Linked DNA regions of Mus musculus. The protein of the gene in region 3 interacts with the protein of the main gene of each other region in a biochemical or structural test. Links are inferred from orthologs where the notes say so. Each region holds a gene or a part of one and is shown on either strand. Other genes may lie near its edges.

Region 1 (4,652 bases), on a different chromosome or scaffold from region 3:
AATTCTTACTAATAAAATGGTTACATGTATTATTTAGTGACAGGGTTAGTCTACATGTGAGAATTTAAACTACATTATGCACACTATCTACAAGCACTTTTACCCAATCCTAACTGACACAGAACAAAACAGTGGCAAAGAAATAATCACAAGCGCCCTTTCCCCTGGTTCACTGCCCTAGCAGCGCACGCCTCCTGCAGAACCTTGCACACATCCTGCTGCACTGCACCTTCTGTCTTTGTGCATGCTGCTTCCTTTCTTCAAAACAACTTTCTGAAGGAACCGTACGTAGCATGCCTGGCTCCTTCATTTCTCAGGCTTTTCCCGCAAACACACAGCAGCCCTCTACCAGGACCACCATCCACTACACGTGACAGTACTGAAGAGCACTTTGATTACTGACTGGCCTGTTTGATGCTAGACTCCTTTACTCTGTTTACCACATTACTGTCTATGTAAACCATGCAGGGCTTCAGGAGGTCCTCAACTGAATGAACGGGAGGGGAGCGAAGTGTTAGCACTAAAGCACCTTTATCTCCTGATCACAAATGTCAGATGGGCAGGCAGGTGCGGGAAATGGCCAGAAAGATGGCTAGTCACAGCCTCTAGGCAGAGATGTATCAATCACCCCTCTGAGGGTGCTTGCTTCTTCCTCAGGATCAGACCTTTGACCTAACCACGGAGCCACACAGCTGCCTACCTAAAAGGACATCACTCAGCGGAGTAGCTATGTAGGAGAAAACACTGAAGCAAGAAAAGTCATTACAAGCCGGGAGGTGGTGGCGCACGCCTTTAATCACAGAACTTGGGAGGCAGAGGCAGGTGGATCTCTTGAGTTTGAGGCCAGCCTGGTCTACAGAGTGAGTTCCAGGACAGCCAGGGCTACACAGAGAAACCCTGTCTTGAAAAAAAAAGAAAAAGAAAACAAAACAAAACAAAAGGAAAGAAAAAGAAAAAGTCATTACATTCAGGAACGGCCAAATGACTGATCTAGGGAGAACCACCACTAAGCTCTATTGTCAAAATCAGAAACATTGAACCTAAGACTTGCCTAACACCGTGTTTCCAAAACCAAACAGTTCACAGGTCCTGGATGCTTGTCAAATGCACACCTAAAGCATGACCTAAGCCATCCCAGTAACTCCTCCGCTCTGAACACCGGCTCGAGGGAGCTCAAGAGGGACCTATAACCTCAGCTTTCCCTAGGCTACAGTTGGCCCTGAGAACACACCTGTTCAACACGCACCCATGCCAGCTATAACAAATGATTACCTTTCTTAAAGCTGTGCTACAAATGCGACTACAACCTAATCCATACTGTGCTGCCCTCGATCAGATTTCTCCCGTGTGCATATGTGTGCGCACGTGTGTGTGCACGTGTATACCTGTGTGCATGCTGATATTGGGATGTCTTTCTGAATCACTCCACTTTTTTTGACACAGTAAACTGGCTGGCCAGCAAAGCCCTGGGGAATCTCCTGCCTCCACCTCTCACTGGTGAGTTATAGACACACACTGCATGCCTTAGCTTTTACATGGGTATTGAGAATTAGAACTCAGATATTCATGCCTGCAGGACAAGCTTCATAACCACTGAGCCATGTCCCCAGACTGTCACTTTTTAACTTTTACATGTTTGGTACAAAAGGGTGCCTCAAGATGCTGAGAACAACTAAAATCGAAGAAATCTGCTGTTGACAGATCCACCCACATAGTGTAACCCTAGGAAAGCCACACTACCTTATTCATCCAAACAGTAGTTTGAAGACCAACTCACTAGTAGTTCTGATGGATTCTGGGGCCAATACGTCAACGTTTCCATAACTTAAATTAGGTACTAAATATGGAGATCATAAACAACATTAAACCTACTTCAAAGCCTGAGATTACGGTGAGAGGTGAGGACGACTTTAAATTATGTCGCTGGCTCTGACAGTCAGCTCTCAGACTATGTAACAGGAGTGTTCTTTGAAAGGCTCATGACGTTCACAACAGAATGTACCATCTGGAGATGCCAGGCACTTCTGTGCTCTAGCAACATTAACTTCACACGCAGAGATGGGAAATACCGACAGAGAAAGAAACTGCGAACTGCGGCTTGTTCAAACAGTTTGCTGTTAGTGTATCAATGCCTAATCTCAACACTGTTTAGTTAAGAGTCCACTCTCTAAAGTCAACTCAACATAATGTCGTGGGGGGGGGGGGTGCCTGGAGGTTGAATAAACTTCTCCGCCCTCTACCTGCTGACCACCGCAGACACTCCTGGAGAGTGCAGCGGCATCCAGAAGCAAAGCTTGCATTCTCTTGCCAAGTGACTTCCTAACTTCACTGAAAAGCGCTCACTTTTTCAGCTCGCAAAAACTCTTCAAGGACAACGGGTAAGATGTACGTGGAAGTTAATATTGAGGGGGCAGATTCTGGAGCGGAGGATGAAATTCACACGTTCCAGGAATCAGGTGGGTCCCAAAGAAGCCTGTATGAATGAAGGGGGAGAGGGAACCGAGCAGGGTTCCAGCGTCGCCCCCACGGGAACATCTTCCAGCCCCGCACTCGAGTCGCCAAGTGCGTGCGTGGGCCCGGGCCACGAGATGAGCGGGGCACCCGGCTGGACCCTAACTGCCCAGCCCACCTGCAGCAGGGCAGGAGCTGCTGCGCACCTTGTGGGAGACGCCGGGAGCGGAATGGACGTGGCACCCCCTCGGCCCTCGGGGCTATGGTGGGTGCGGCGCCCGCTGCCCCCTAAGAGCAAGAACTGACAAGGCTCGGGCGCGGGAGGCAAGGGGCCCCCAGCCTCCTGCAACCCCGAGTCCCCCGCTGCCCCGAGCCGGGTCCGGGAAGAGCTCGGAATGGAGCGAAGGGCGGCCCAAGGATGAGGGAACCGGTACTCACAAAGCCCACTGGAGCCGGTGCTGGTGAACATGGTCCCGCCGGGCCCGGAGCCCCCGCGGGGCGTCAGGGGGAGGGGAGGCAGAGGTGGAGAGCCCCCAGCGACCGCGCAGGCGCACTGTCAACCAGCGAGCGAAGTCGGCCCGGCGAGGCGCTCCGGAGCCGCCAGGAAGAAGGCGCATGCGCAGCCCGTGGGGCGTGCACACTCGGCCAGAGCCCGCCCCTTCCTTCCCAGAGAGGAAGTGCGTAGGTGCGGGCGAGCCGGATGGTAGCTGCTTCCGGTAGTTCGGGGCGGGTTTGGCGCATGCCAGAATTCCCAGTACAGAACCTTACGGCGTGAAGCGCCGTGAGCGAGCCGGTTCTTCCGCCACAGAACACCAGGCCTTTCTCGAGACCTCTGACCTTTCACTGGGCGAGACGGCCGCGAGTCCCACGCATGCTCAGTACTTCCGTGTGGGCCTTGGCGCTCAGTGAACAGTCTGCTTCCGGTGACCCACCAAGCACCTGGGGTTGCTGGGGTGAGGGTGGACAAGACGGCTAGTAGAAGAAAAAGTTTTAAAAATACACTTAGCTTTCTGTTCCGGGCAGTGGTGGCGCACGCCTTTAATCCCAGCACTTGGGAGGTTGAGTTCGAGGCCAGCCAGGTCTTAGAGAGTGAGTTCCAGGACAGCCAGGGCTTGGGGGGGGGGGGGGGGACTGTATGTTCATCCAGTTGAGTTATTTCGCAGGAAAATTATTTCCTTATGATCTTCGCAGAAGCTGATTCCCACAAAATCTGTAGCCCACTTAAGACTGGTTCTCAAACTATGGGGTCCCTGGGAGCACTGAAGGGTGTTCAGAAGACCCGGCCGATTTTTGTAGTAATGCTAAAACGTGTATTTTTCCTTTCCCGTTCTTTTTCATCCATGAGTAGTAAGGTTTTCCAATTAACCAGCGCCTGATAAACCAACTGGAACTGCAGGACGACCAAGTGCGTGTTAAGGCAGATCCCCAGTTGCAAGTAATCTAGAAGCCACCATTTAAACTTTGACATTTTATGGAGGGAAAAATGCCATTTAATCTAAGTGCTTGCTTTTCTAATTCCAGACCTACTCTGGGTGAGCTTTTCTTCATATACTTCATCCAAAACATCACAACAAACTAAAAAGAGAGAAGTGCGCAGGGAATCCCCACAGGGTATTGAGCCAGGCATTAAAAGCATTCTTCCTTAAAATGGTTTGCCTAGGAAAGTACCCGGTGTCAAAACTGAATGGTTGAATTTGGACATTTTTGCCTGATTCATCTAAGAAATGGCCCTATAGTGGTTAAATACATAGAAACGAGGGGGATAGTGTAGATTTAAGGAAAGCTTCAAAGTCACATTATGTCTCTTAAATTACTGTTTTGAAATTTAATCCTGTCTACTTAAGTCCTATATATTATAGATAGTAACCACTTATGGTAAACTAATATAAACTATAAAAGGTTATTATCTAATCAGGGTTAGAGAGGAAGAAATGAAGTAAATTCCTCATTCCGTTGAACATTAGTATGTTTGGAAGATCTGAAATCTGAAAAGATAGAAAGCTGTGAGATGAACAGTAGTCAGAAGTTTTGTAGCAGTTGCACATACTGACTGATATCAACATGAAAACTCAATCGTCACAAATTCAGGGCTCATAGGAAATGAAAACACTTGAGTGGAAATATACCAAAAATGAAGTGGTCAAAACTTGAAACTCTTGAAAATTATTCCACAGGAAACACTTTTTTTTTTCCTCTTCCAG
Region 2 (4,893 bases), on a different chromosome or scaffold from region 3:
GAAAGCAGTAGTTTCTCAGACTTTCACACACAATCTTGCTCATCCTAACAGAGACCTGTGAGTAAATCCAAAGCACTGTTCTTTCTCCGGATGACATATTGAAACTCACACTCAAGGAATCGGGAGTGCTGGTCCACAGAGGTGGTGCCTGCTAGAGTCTGTGCTGCTGGTCTTTTGCAATCTGCCTGGCTGTTTCACTGGGGTATATTTGCATACTCCCAATGAAAATAAGGCAGGGGCATTACTTTTATTGTCTAGGTGCCAAAACAGGGATTTTCTCCCTCCTCAGTAAGAGTGTATGACACTCAATACCAGTCAGAGCATTACTTCAACACACTGGCTACCCTTTTAATCTCCTACCAAAAATAATACACACATACATACATACCTACCTACATACATACAGGATTGTTGAAGAAAAATAAAAGCCAGAATACATAACACTCCAAGATGATGAGTTAGTTGGTTAAGGGATCACAGATTTACCAATCATTTAATTACTGAAACTACAGACAGGCAAGAACAAGATCAAGCTTTATACAATAATATTTGATTGTACCAATGAAGGGATGCCAACAGGTTAAAATAGGAGGCCATTATGAAATAAGCCTGAGATAGAAAAAAAAAAAAAAAAACACCCACTGAGTTGTGAAACTAGCTTTATTAGTACTATAAATGCAAGTGATTAGACCCATCCTTCCAAAACAGGGTCAGAGGCAACCATTTACTGCACGTTGTAAAGAAATCACCCTTCCATTACTAATTTGTTCTTGTTTTCAGCACAAGTCTCCCAGTTATGCTCCATTTTAATGTGCTGAATTCCTCAAGAGGGGCTTCATTTGCTGTCTCTTTTCCCCAAAGTGGACTCCCTAACTGATGGAGGCAAGACTGACTCACAACAGGATACCTGCCACTTGCATAATTTTTTTAGATGCATGTGCACAGTGAAGCCATTTCTAAGTTTGATATAATTTTACATAGAAAAAAAATTAGGCTTGTATTGATACACCCATCTCGGAATCCCTGTAGTTGACTACAGATGAACAAGAAGTGCCCCATTCCTTGTGAGGTGTAAGCTTTTCCTAGTGAGAGGGTGTGTGTGTGTGTGTGTGTGTGTGTGACAAATCTCTCTTGAGAAAATTCAACTATAGCCCCACAGCTACAGCTAATGAACTAACAGACCACATGGACTGGCCTGTTGTTGGTAGTGTTATGTTCCAAGCTCAAGACTCACTGTTGAAGATGTATTTACAGGTAAGACCCATTCACACAAGTTCTGCACTCCCACAAAGAACTGCAATACTGGCCCAGAAGGGGTAGCACATGCCTATAATCCCAGCACTCCAAGGGCTGAGAGAGGAAAATTATAAATTCTAGGTCACCCTGGGCTATCATAGAAACCCAGTCTCACAAACCAAAGGAACTGCAATACTGTCCTGTGAAACCAATTAACTTATTAATCTTTAAAGGCTTCATGCAGAACAGAAGAAAGACACCTGACTTTACAAAGGTAAGCAAGACACCAAGTCTTGGAGCTCCAGAAAACTGCAGTTATTTCTATTCCTTATCCTGGAGGACAGTTTTCCTTGTGTTACCCCGTATATTTTGCTTCAAGAATATAATCCCCTTTGAAGAAGTAGTACGTCAAAAGTATTAAAGCAGTCCCTAAACTACCTTCCTAGCTCCAATCCAACCCAGGCTGAAAGACCACTCTGCTGAATCGTCCCACCGTCTTTTCAGCCTTGCAGATGAACTTGATTTCTGATGCACACGATTCACATTTTACACTACAGCCCAAGCTGCCAGTGATAATCTTAAAGCTCATAAACAAAGACCAGCGTCGGCACCAGGGCCCTACCAGGAAGTAATCAAAGCCGGGTGGCCCGTCCGACCTTAAGTCCCGGCAGACAATGAGAGGGCACCGGGGCTTCCAAGGAAGCAGAAGGAGTTAACGCTTAAGCAACTCGAAGGCATAACATAAACCTACGAAGTGTCTTACACGCACTCGGGAATTCCCAACGAAATCCCTGCCAACCCGAAAAACTGCCTCGGAACAATCTTCGAAAGGCAAAACAAAAAAAAACAAAAAAACCCAAAACACCCAACCTCGAGCCGCCCCTCCAAAGCAGCTGTTGGCTGCCTTCTCCGGAGCTTTCGGAGCCCGCAGCCTGTTTTCAAACTTCACCCTCACAGGCTGAAGAGAGACTCCGAGGTGAGCAGCCCCCAGCGCAGTCCGCTCAGGGGCTGCGGGGGAGGCAGGAGCCTGTGGGAACCCGAGGAAACGCAACCCAAAGGGGCTCGCGCGCCGGCAGTCCAGACAAAGCTGCGCCCGCAGAGCGGCGCTTTGCCTGTCCGGCCCACGGGGGACCGCGAGCCCGACCCCGCCACACGTGCGGCCGCGCGCGGAGCCGGCCCTTAGGTTCGCGGAGCCTTGGGGTGCGAGCCGCCGCGTCATCCCGCCGCTGCGCGCTCGCCTCAGGCCCCCGCGGGCCTCTCCTCAGCCGGCCCGGCCGTCGGGCCGCGCGAAACAAAGGAGCCGCCACCGCGCCCGCCGCGCCGCGCCGCGTCCCCTCGCCCCGCGCGCCGGGCCCGCTTGCTCCCCTCAGCCTCCCCCCCCCCCCAACGAGGCCGCGCGCTGCCCCGCACCCGCGGCCCTTCGACGGCAAGGCCCGGGCCAGAGCCGGGACCTCGGGTGCGCGGCCGGCCAGCCCCAGAGCCGCACTCACCGCTGCAGCACCAGGACGACGGGGAGCCGTTGGGGAACTTGGCTGAGTCCGGGGCGATGCAGACGCTGGAGCTGAGGTGCGGACACTCCATGGCCACGAGGACGGCGGCGGGGACAGCCGAGGCTCTGGGGCGGAGGGACTTCAGAGGCTCCGTCTGGGGTCGCTTCTGACCCGGCACTGGGCAGACGGCGGCTTCTGGGTCCCGAGCCTTTGCGTCAAAGAAAGCAAGGGCTTCCGGGCGCCGGGTTTTGCCATCCGCCGTCTCCCGGCGCCCCGCTCCGGAGAACGTGAAAATCCGGACTCCTGGTTCTGCCGCCGCCCAGGGACAGTAGGCTTCCGCCTTCTCCGGCGGCCCCGCCCACCCTGCTGGTTACGCCCCCAGGCCAGCCCGGGCCCCGCCCCCACACTAGTCAGTGGGCGGGGCATTGGTGCTCACCCAGTGCTAGCAGCTAGTGTAAAGTCCTACGGGGATGTGAAGTGACTTTCCGAAATCTGCCCCCGGCCGCTGCAGCCGATTCTTGGGAACCCGACAAGTGTGGGTACTCATCCGGGGCAGAGCGGTCGGGACCGCTGCTTCTACTGCAGTGAGTTGGCTACAACAGCGAGGTAGAATATGTGACCACACCGCAAAGAGTACGGAAAATGAAAACCACTCACACCGACGTGCATTGAAGCCCCATTTTACACAGGAAGAAACAGACTTTTGGGGCGTGGCCCTCGATGGCCCAGCCGGCTGCAAAGAGCCCAGAACAGTCCTGACTTTCGTGTTCTCCCGGTAGCAGGCGGGGTCCGGAACTGTTCTGAGTTCTGAACTCTGGCCTGAGTGTGTCACCGGGATACTGCACGGCTGGGCCCACCGGAACGCCTGTGTTCGGGGTCCACGCCATGCCGTTATGACTCACTGATATCTCCTGCCCATTGTGGGTATTTTCATACCTATACCTCTTGAAGTTGAACGAAATAATCCAGTTTGCTGTACAAGGTCGCGGGTGCTAGGTAATAAAAAGAGGCAGTGTAACATTTGTTAGAAGCCCACCTGGCTCCCAGCCAGGCACTTTGCATACCACACCTCATTTAATCCTCAAAACACCCTCTCAAGCTGCTGCTACGGTCCCCTTTTTAACAAAAAGTGAAACCAAGAGTATAATTTGCTTTAGGAAGATTGGACCCCCGCACCCCCCCCCCCCCCGCTTCAAATCTCTCTCTAGAAAGAAGTGAAGAAGACAGGAGGAGCGTCTAGAGGTAGAGAGCCTGCCACCTCACATTCTCTGCCTTGAGGATATCTGGGGCTCCCACAAATCTAGCCTCCAAAGTTGGGCTTTCTTTCTTTGTTTGGTTGGTGGTGTTTAACCTGGTAAAGGGGCTTCTTTCCTTCATCCCCTGACAAGCAAGTGGAGAGGGAAGAACAATGTGCCAATCCATGGGGCAGGAAAGGAAAGGTCAGGAAATGATTAACTGGCTGGGCCGGATAGTGGTTAGTTAGCACTGGGCACCTCCCTGAAGTGCACGCCTCTAGCACCCCTTAAGCCACTTCCGTACACCCCACTACTGCACCCTGTAGCCTTCTGCCTGATAGTGTCCACCCACCTAGGACATCTCTGCCCAGGGTGGTATTTCAGATTCCTCAGTCCAAGCAACTCTACCACTTCCCCAAGTTGTATATGATTGCTGTCAAAACAAGGCTTGGACGGGTTTTGATGGTGAGAAATTGTGGAAAGTTGTTCAGATCAGCTCTGGCAGGTACTTCATGGCAAACCTTAGCTAGTCCTCTCGACTCTTTTTCCTCGCCTATCCACTGGCAAAACAGTACTTATCTGTGTGAATTCCTAACCTGTAGTAATTAACAGATAAGGTTTGTTTTTCTTATTAAAAAAAAAAAAAAGGAGATGACTGCTTCCTTGGGACGAGAGAGGAGAATAAACAGTATCTGAACCCTATTCAGTCTCTTCCATCTATTTGTTTCACAAGTCTTTCTCAAGCAACCTTCTCAGAGTCCTCTGGGCACTGACCCTCATTCAGTGAACCCACAGCCCCTCATTCAGTGTGGAGCCTGACCCACGCTGTCTTTCCTACTAGTATGTAGTTCTTTTCAACCTCTGAGAAACGTTTTTCAAATCCCCTAGACCTCACATAACATCACTTCCTACCTCCTACCAGAGGCCTTTCC
Region 3 (4,139 bases):
GATCAGCCTCTGCTGGTCAGGGGGGATGCCCTCCTTGTCCTGGATCTTTGCCTTGACATTCTCAATGGTGTCACTGGGCTCGACCTCCAGGGTGATGGTTTTGCCTGTCAGGGTCTTCACAAAGATCTGCATCCCACCTCTGAGGCGAAGGACTAAGTGCAGGGTGGACTCTTTCTGGATGTTGTAGTCTGACAGGGTGCGGCCATCTTCCAGCTGCTTGCCTGCAAAGATCAGCCTCTGCTGGTCAGGGGGGATGCCCTCCTTGTCCTGGATCTTTGCCTTGACATTCTCAATGGTGTCACTGGGCTCGACCTCCAGGGTGATGGTCTTGCCTGTCAGGGTCTTCACAAAGATCTGCATGCCACCTCTGAGGCGAAGGACCAGGTGCAGGGTGGACTCTTTCTGGATGTTGTAGTCTGACAGGGTGCGGCCATCTTCCAGCTGCTTGCCTGCAAAGATCAGCCTCTGCTGGTCAGGGGGGATGCCCTCCTTGTCCTGGATCTTTGCCTTGACATTCTCTATGGTGTCACTGGGCTCGACCTCCAGGGTGATGGTCTTGCCTGTCAGGGTCTTCACAAAGATCTGCATCCCACCTCTGAGGCGAAGGACCAGGTGCAGGGTGGACTCTTTCTGGATGTTGTAGTCTGACAGGGTGCGGCCATCTTCCAGCTGCTTGCCTGCAAAGATCAGCCTCTGCTGGTCAGGGGGGATGCCCTCCTTGTCCTGGATCTTTGCCTTGACATTCTCTATGGTGTCACTGGGCTCGACCTCCAGGGTGATGGTCTTGCCTGTCAGGGTCTTCACAAAGATCTGCATGCCACCTCTGAGGCGAAGGACCAGGTGCAGGGTGGACTCTTTCTGGATGTTGTAGTCTGACAGGGTGCGGCCATCTTCCAGCTGCTTGCCTGCAAAGATCAGCCTCTGCTGGTCAGGGGGGATGCCCTCCTTGTCCTGGATCTTTGCCTTGACATTCTCAATGGTGTCACTGGGCTCGACCTCCAGGGTGATGGTCTTACCAGTTAAGGTTTTCACAAAGATCTGCATCGTCTGTCACAAAATATACAAAACAATTCACAGGTCAGGAATGACACAAATATTTGTGGGATGGCATCAACATTTGTCAACTGGATGCTATAAGTCTAAATAGCAAGGTCTATCTACACAGATTCTGTCTTGAATCCAATCCCCCCACCCCGAAAAACCATCAAGAAAATAAGATTGTTGACTAACAAAGTTAAGAAACCTCGGCATGGTGAGTCTTTTTGTATTACCAAATTTACAGGATGGAGACTTCAGTATACCAACAGCTGAAAGTCAATTTCTGTCTATTTGAACAGTTTGCAGAAAAGCCTGACCTCTGGGAGGTTATGAAACCACAGCAGTCCCGGATTCAGTTTCAGAATGGTAATATAGCAAGTTACTACTGCAAAACTAAGTCTGAGCCCATGCCTATCGCTGACCTCAGCACTGGGGACACTGAGGTGGGCAGATCTCTAACTGGAAGGTCAGCCAGAGACAGTGTAATCCTGCCTCAACTCTCCTTCCCCCAAAAGAACACCAAACTTTTGTCTGAACGATTAAAATTAGTCTGGAGTGGTGGTACTGGCCTTGGACCTCATCACATGGGGTGGTAGAGGCAGAGATTTTGACAGTTTAAAAAAAAACACCCTTGTCGCAGGACAATGGTGGTGCCTTTCGTCCCAACACTTGGGAGGCAGAGGCAGGAGGATTTCTGGGTTCGAGGCCAGCCTGATCTACAGAGTGAGATGCGGGACAGCCAGGACTACATAGAGAAACCGTCTCGAACCCCCCCCCCAAAAGTTTCAGTAGTCATAGTTGTACAGCGACATTCTTAAAACGAAACAGGACAAGAATGGCTCACATTTCCCCTCTGAATTTCCGGTTCCTGTTTACTCTGGAGAGGCTACCGGAGGCCGAGACCCAAACCCTGTCCTACAACCGAGGGAAAGCTAAAGTCAAGATAGTGACGTCACTATCCATTAGGAGGCCACGCAACCCGCGACGTCACAGGGGGCGGCAGGCCAGGCAGGCTGAACCGCCGCCCAACCCCCTTCCGGTCTCGATCGCACTTCCGTCTTTCAGCAAACGAACGGACGAACGCCGGGCCAATCGACCTCTCGGGCCAGCCCAATATCCACGGCTCTCACAGCAGAGGCTCCTACGGCGCGCAACCCTAATTCAGTCCCCACCCCACAGTCTCCGACGTCCCCGGCTTAACCGGAGGGCAGCGGCCTCGCGGGCCTTTTTCCTCCCCCAACCTCGTCCTGCGCGTCAGAGCCCCGCGTCTTCCCCCTCAGGCTTCCATCTGGCCGCCATCTTGCCGCCCAGTCCTCTGCCTCGGGGCAGCCGCGGTCCGCGCGGGCCACGGAAACCAAACGTCTGGGCCGCGGGGCTGCCTCTCGCCCCGTCTCGCCTCCAGCCTCCCGTCCCCGACCGGGTGCGGCGGCTTTCTCCTCACCAGCGGTGGTGGCGGCAGTCCTCACACAGCAGACGGAACTCGCAGTCTCCACGGAACTAGCTGCGGCACGCCCGGCGTCTCTTTATATAGTCACCGAAGCCCCGCCCCCCCCCTTCCGCGCGGTCCCTCCGCGGGCAATGCGGTCAGGGACTACTTTGTAACGCCGGGTCCAGTCTCGGCAGCGAAAGCGACAGGCTAAAACTATCAAGGTACCTCTCTCACGGAGTTGTTTCACGGTGGCGTCCAGAGATTGAGGGGCTTTGTGTGGGAGGGCAGGGCTGTGACCTCGGGCGACTCCGCGGAGGGATCAGCGCGCGTGAGACGATCGGCACGAAAACACGGCTGGGATCACTGAGGCCGGAGCGGGCCTTGGCGCAGGCGCCCTGCGGCTTCGCGGCCTGGCGCCCCTAGTCAGGCCACCACCCCCCACCCCCCCTGTTTTCTTTCCGCGCTAGGGGGACCCAGGGCTTTGGCTCCTGTCACACTGGGATCCCATTGGTGACCTCGCCTCCTCAATCCCCTCATCCCCGGCGGGTCACTATGCCCAGCCCTCACTGTTTTGGCACAGTGACAGGGTGGATGACTGTGCAAATCTCCTAACAAGGAAAATGACAAAGGGTTTTTAATAAATTTAAAAAAAAAAAATACGAAGGAGGGAATCTCTCCCCGATTTGGAAAAACGAATCTGAGTTTGTCAAGGAAAGCAGACAGTCTACACAGTTCTTGAAAACTGTTGGCATTAGATCTGAAGCCCAGCAGAACCTGATCTTTCCAGATTTTTCCTAAACCTTGTGTCCTTGGATTCGAGAAGGTTCTATGTTTTCTATGTGCTTGTCACTAAGTAAAGGTCAAAATTTCCAAATGTTGTTCATATTTGTTGTTCATATTCTGAGACTGAACCCACTGAAGCCCTGATTTTTAAATTTTTGTTGTTCAGATGGGGGTTTCTCTGTGTAGCCCTGCCTGTCCTGGAATATGCTATGTAGACCAGGCTGGTCTCAAGTTTATATAGGTCCTCCTGCCTCTGCCTCCCAAGTATGGTCTACAGATCAAGTTCCAGAATGGCCAGGGCTACACTTGACTTGAAAAACCAAAAACCAAACAAAAAACCCCCACAAAAACAAAAAAGCACAAATGTGCACGTGTAGTACAATGTTCAGATTACAGCAAGCATATATCCCACTTATACGAATCAAATTATTCAGGGTTTTTTTTGTTTTGTTTTGTTTTGTTTTTTTTTTTTTGGTTTTTTGAGACAGGGTTTCTCTGTGTAGCCCTGACTGTCCTGGAACTCACTTTGTAGACCAGGCTGGCCCCGAACTCAGAAATCCACCTGCCTCTGCCTCCAAAGTGCTGGGATTAAAGGCCTGCGCCACCACTGCCCAGCTCAGGTTTTTGAAATGTAAGGCCTAAGACCTTAGAAGGTAAGAATTGAATCCCTGATGGGGAGAGATGGCTCCCCAGTAGGAACAGGTCTTTTTCCAGAGTACATGAATTCAATACCCAGCAACCCTGTCAGGCAGCTAGCTTGTGACTCCAGCTTCAGGAGGGTCCAATGTCCCTAGGGACACTTTCACATACATGTGGCACACACTTAGATGGACACACACTATTAAATGCCTTTAATCTCAGCATTTTTTGAGTTTTTTTGAGACAGGGT

The links. The genes of interacting proteins can lie anywhere in the genome.
Region 1: the proteins of Ubc (region 3) and Ubac2 form a complex in vitro, tested with the Homo sapiens proteins (5 studies listed by BioGRID). The link is inferred for Mus musculus from reciprocal best matches to the Homo sapiens genes UBC and UBAC2.
Region 2: the proteins of Ubc (region 3) and Usp3 form a complex in vitro, tested with the Homo sapiens proteins (6 studies listed by BioGRID, with this or other methods). The link is inferred for Mus musculus from reciprocal best matches to the Homo sapiens genes UBC and USP3.

What each region holds. Positions count from the first base shown.
Region 1 is NC_000080.6:121,877,012-121,881,663, reverse strand, and holds the start of Ubac2 (ubiquitin-associated domain-containing protein 2 precursor), read right to left. Parts: upstream 3,059-4,652; 5' UTR 2,921-3,058; coding exon 2,890-2,920; intron 2,457-2,889; exon of another isoform or gene 2,256-2,456; intron 1-2,255. UniProt on the Homo sapiens protein: Restricts trafficking of FAF2 from the endoplasmic reticulum to lipid droplets.
Region 2 is NC_000075.6:66,590,058-66,594,950, forward strand, and holds the start of Usp3 (ubiquitin carboxyl-terminal hydrolase 3), read right to left. Parts: upstream 3,059-4,893; 5' UTR 2,818-3,058; coding exon 2,727-2,817; intron 2,725-2,726; exon of another isoform or gene 2,456-2,724; coding exon of another isoform or gene 2,107-2,455; intron 1-2,106. UniProt on the Homo sapiens protein: Deubiquitinase that plays a role in several cellular processes including transcriptional regulation, cell cycle progression or innate immunity.
Region 3 is NC_000071.6:125,387,218-125,391,356, forward strand, and holds the start of Ubc (polyubiquitin-C), read right to left. Parts: upstream 2,801-4,139; 5' UTR 2,693-2,800; intron 1,048-2,692; 5' UTR 1,045-1,047; coding exon 1-1,044.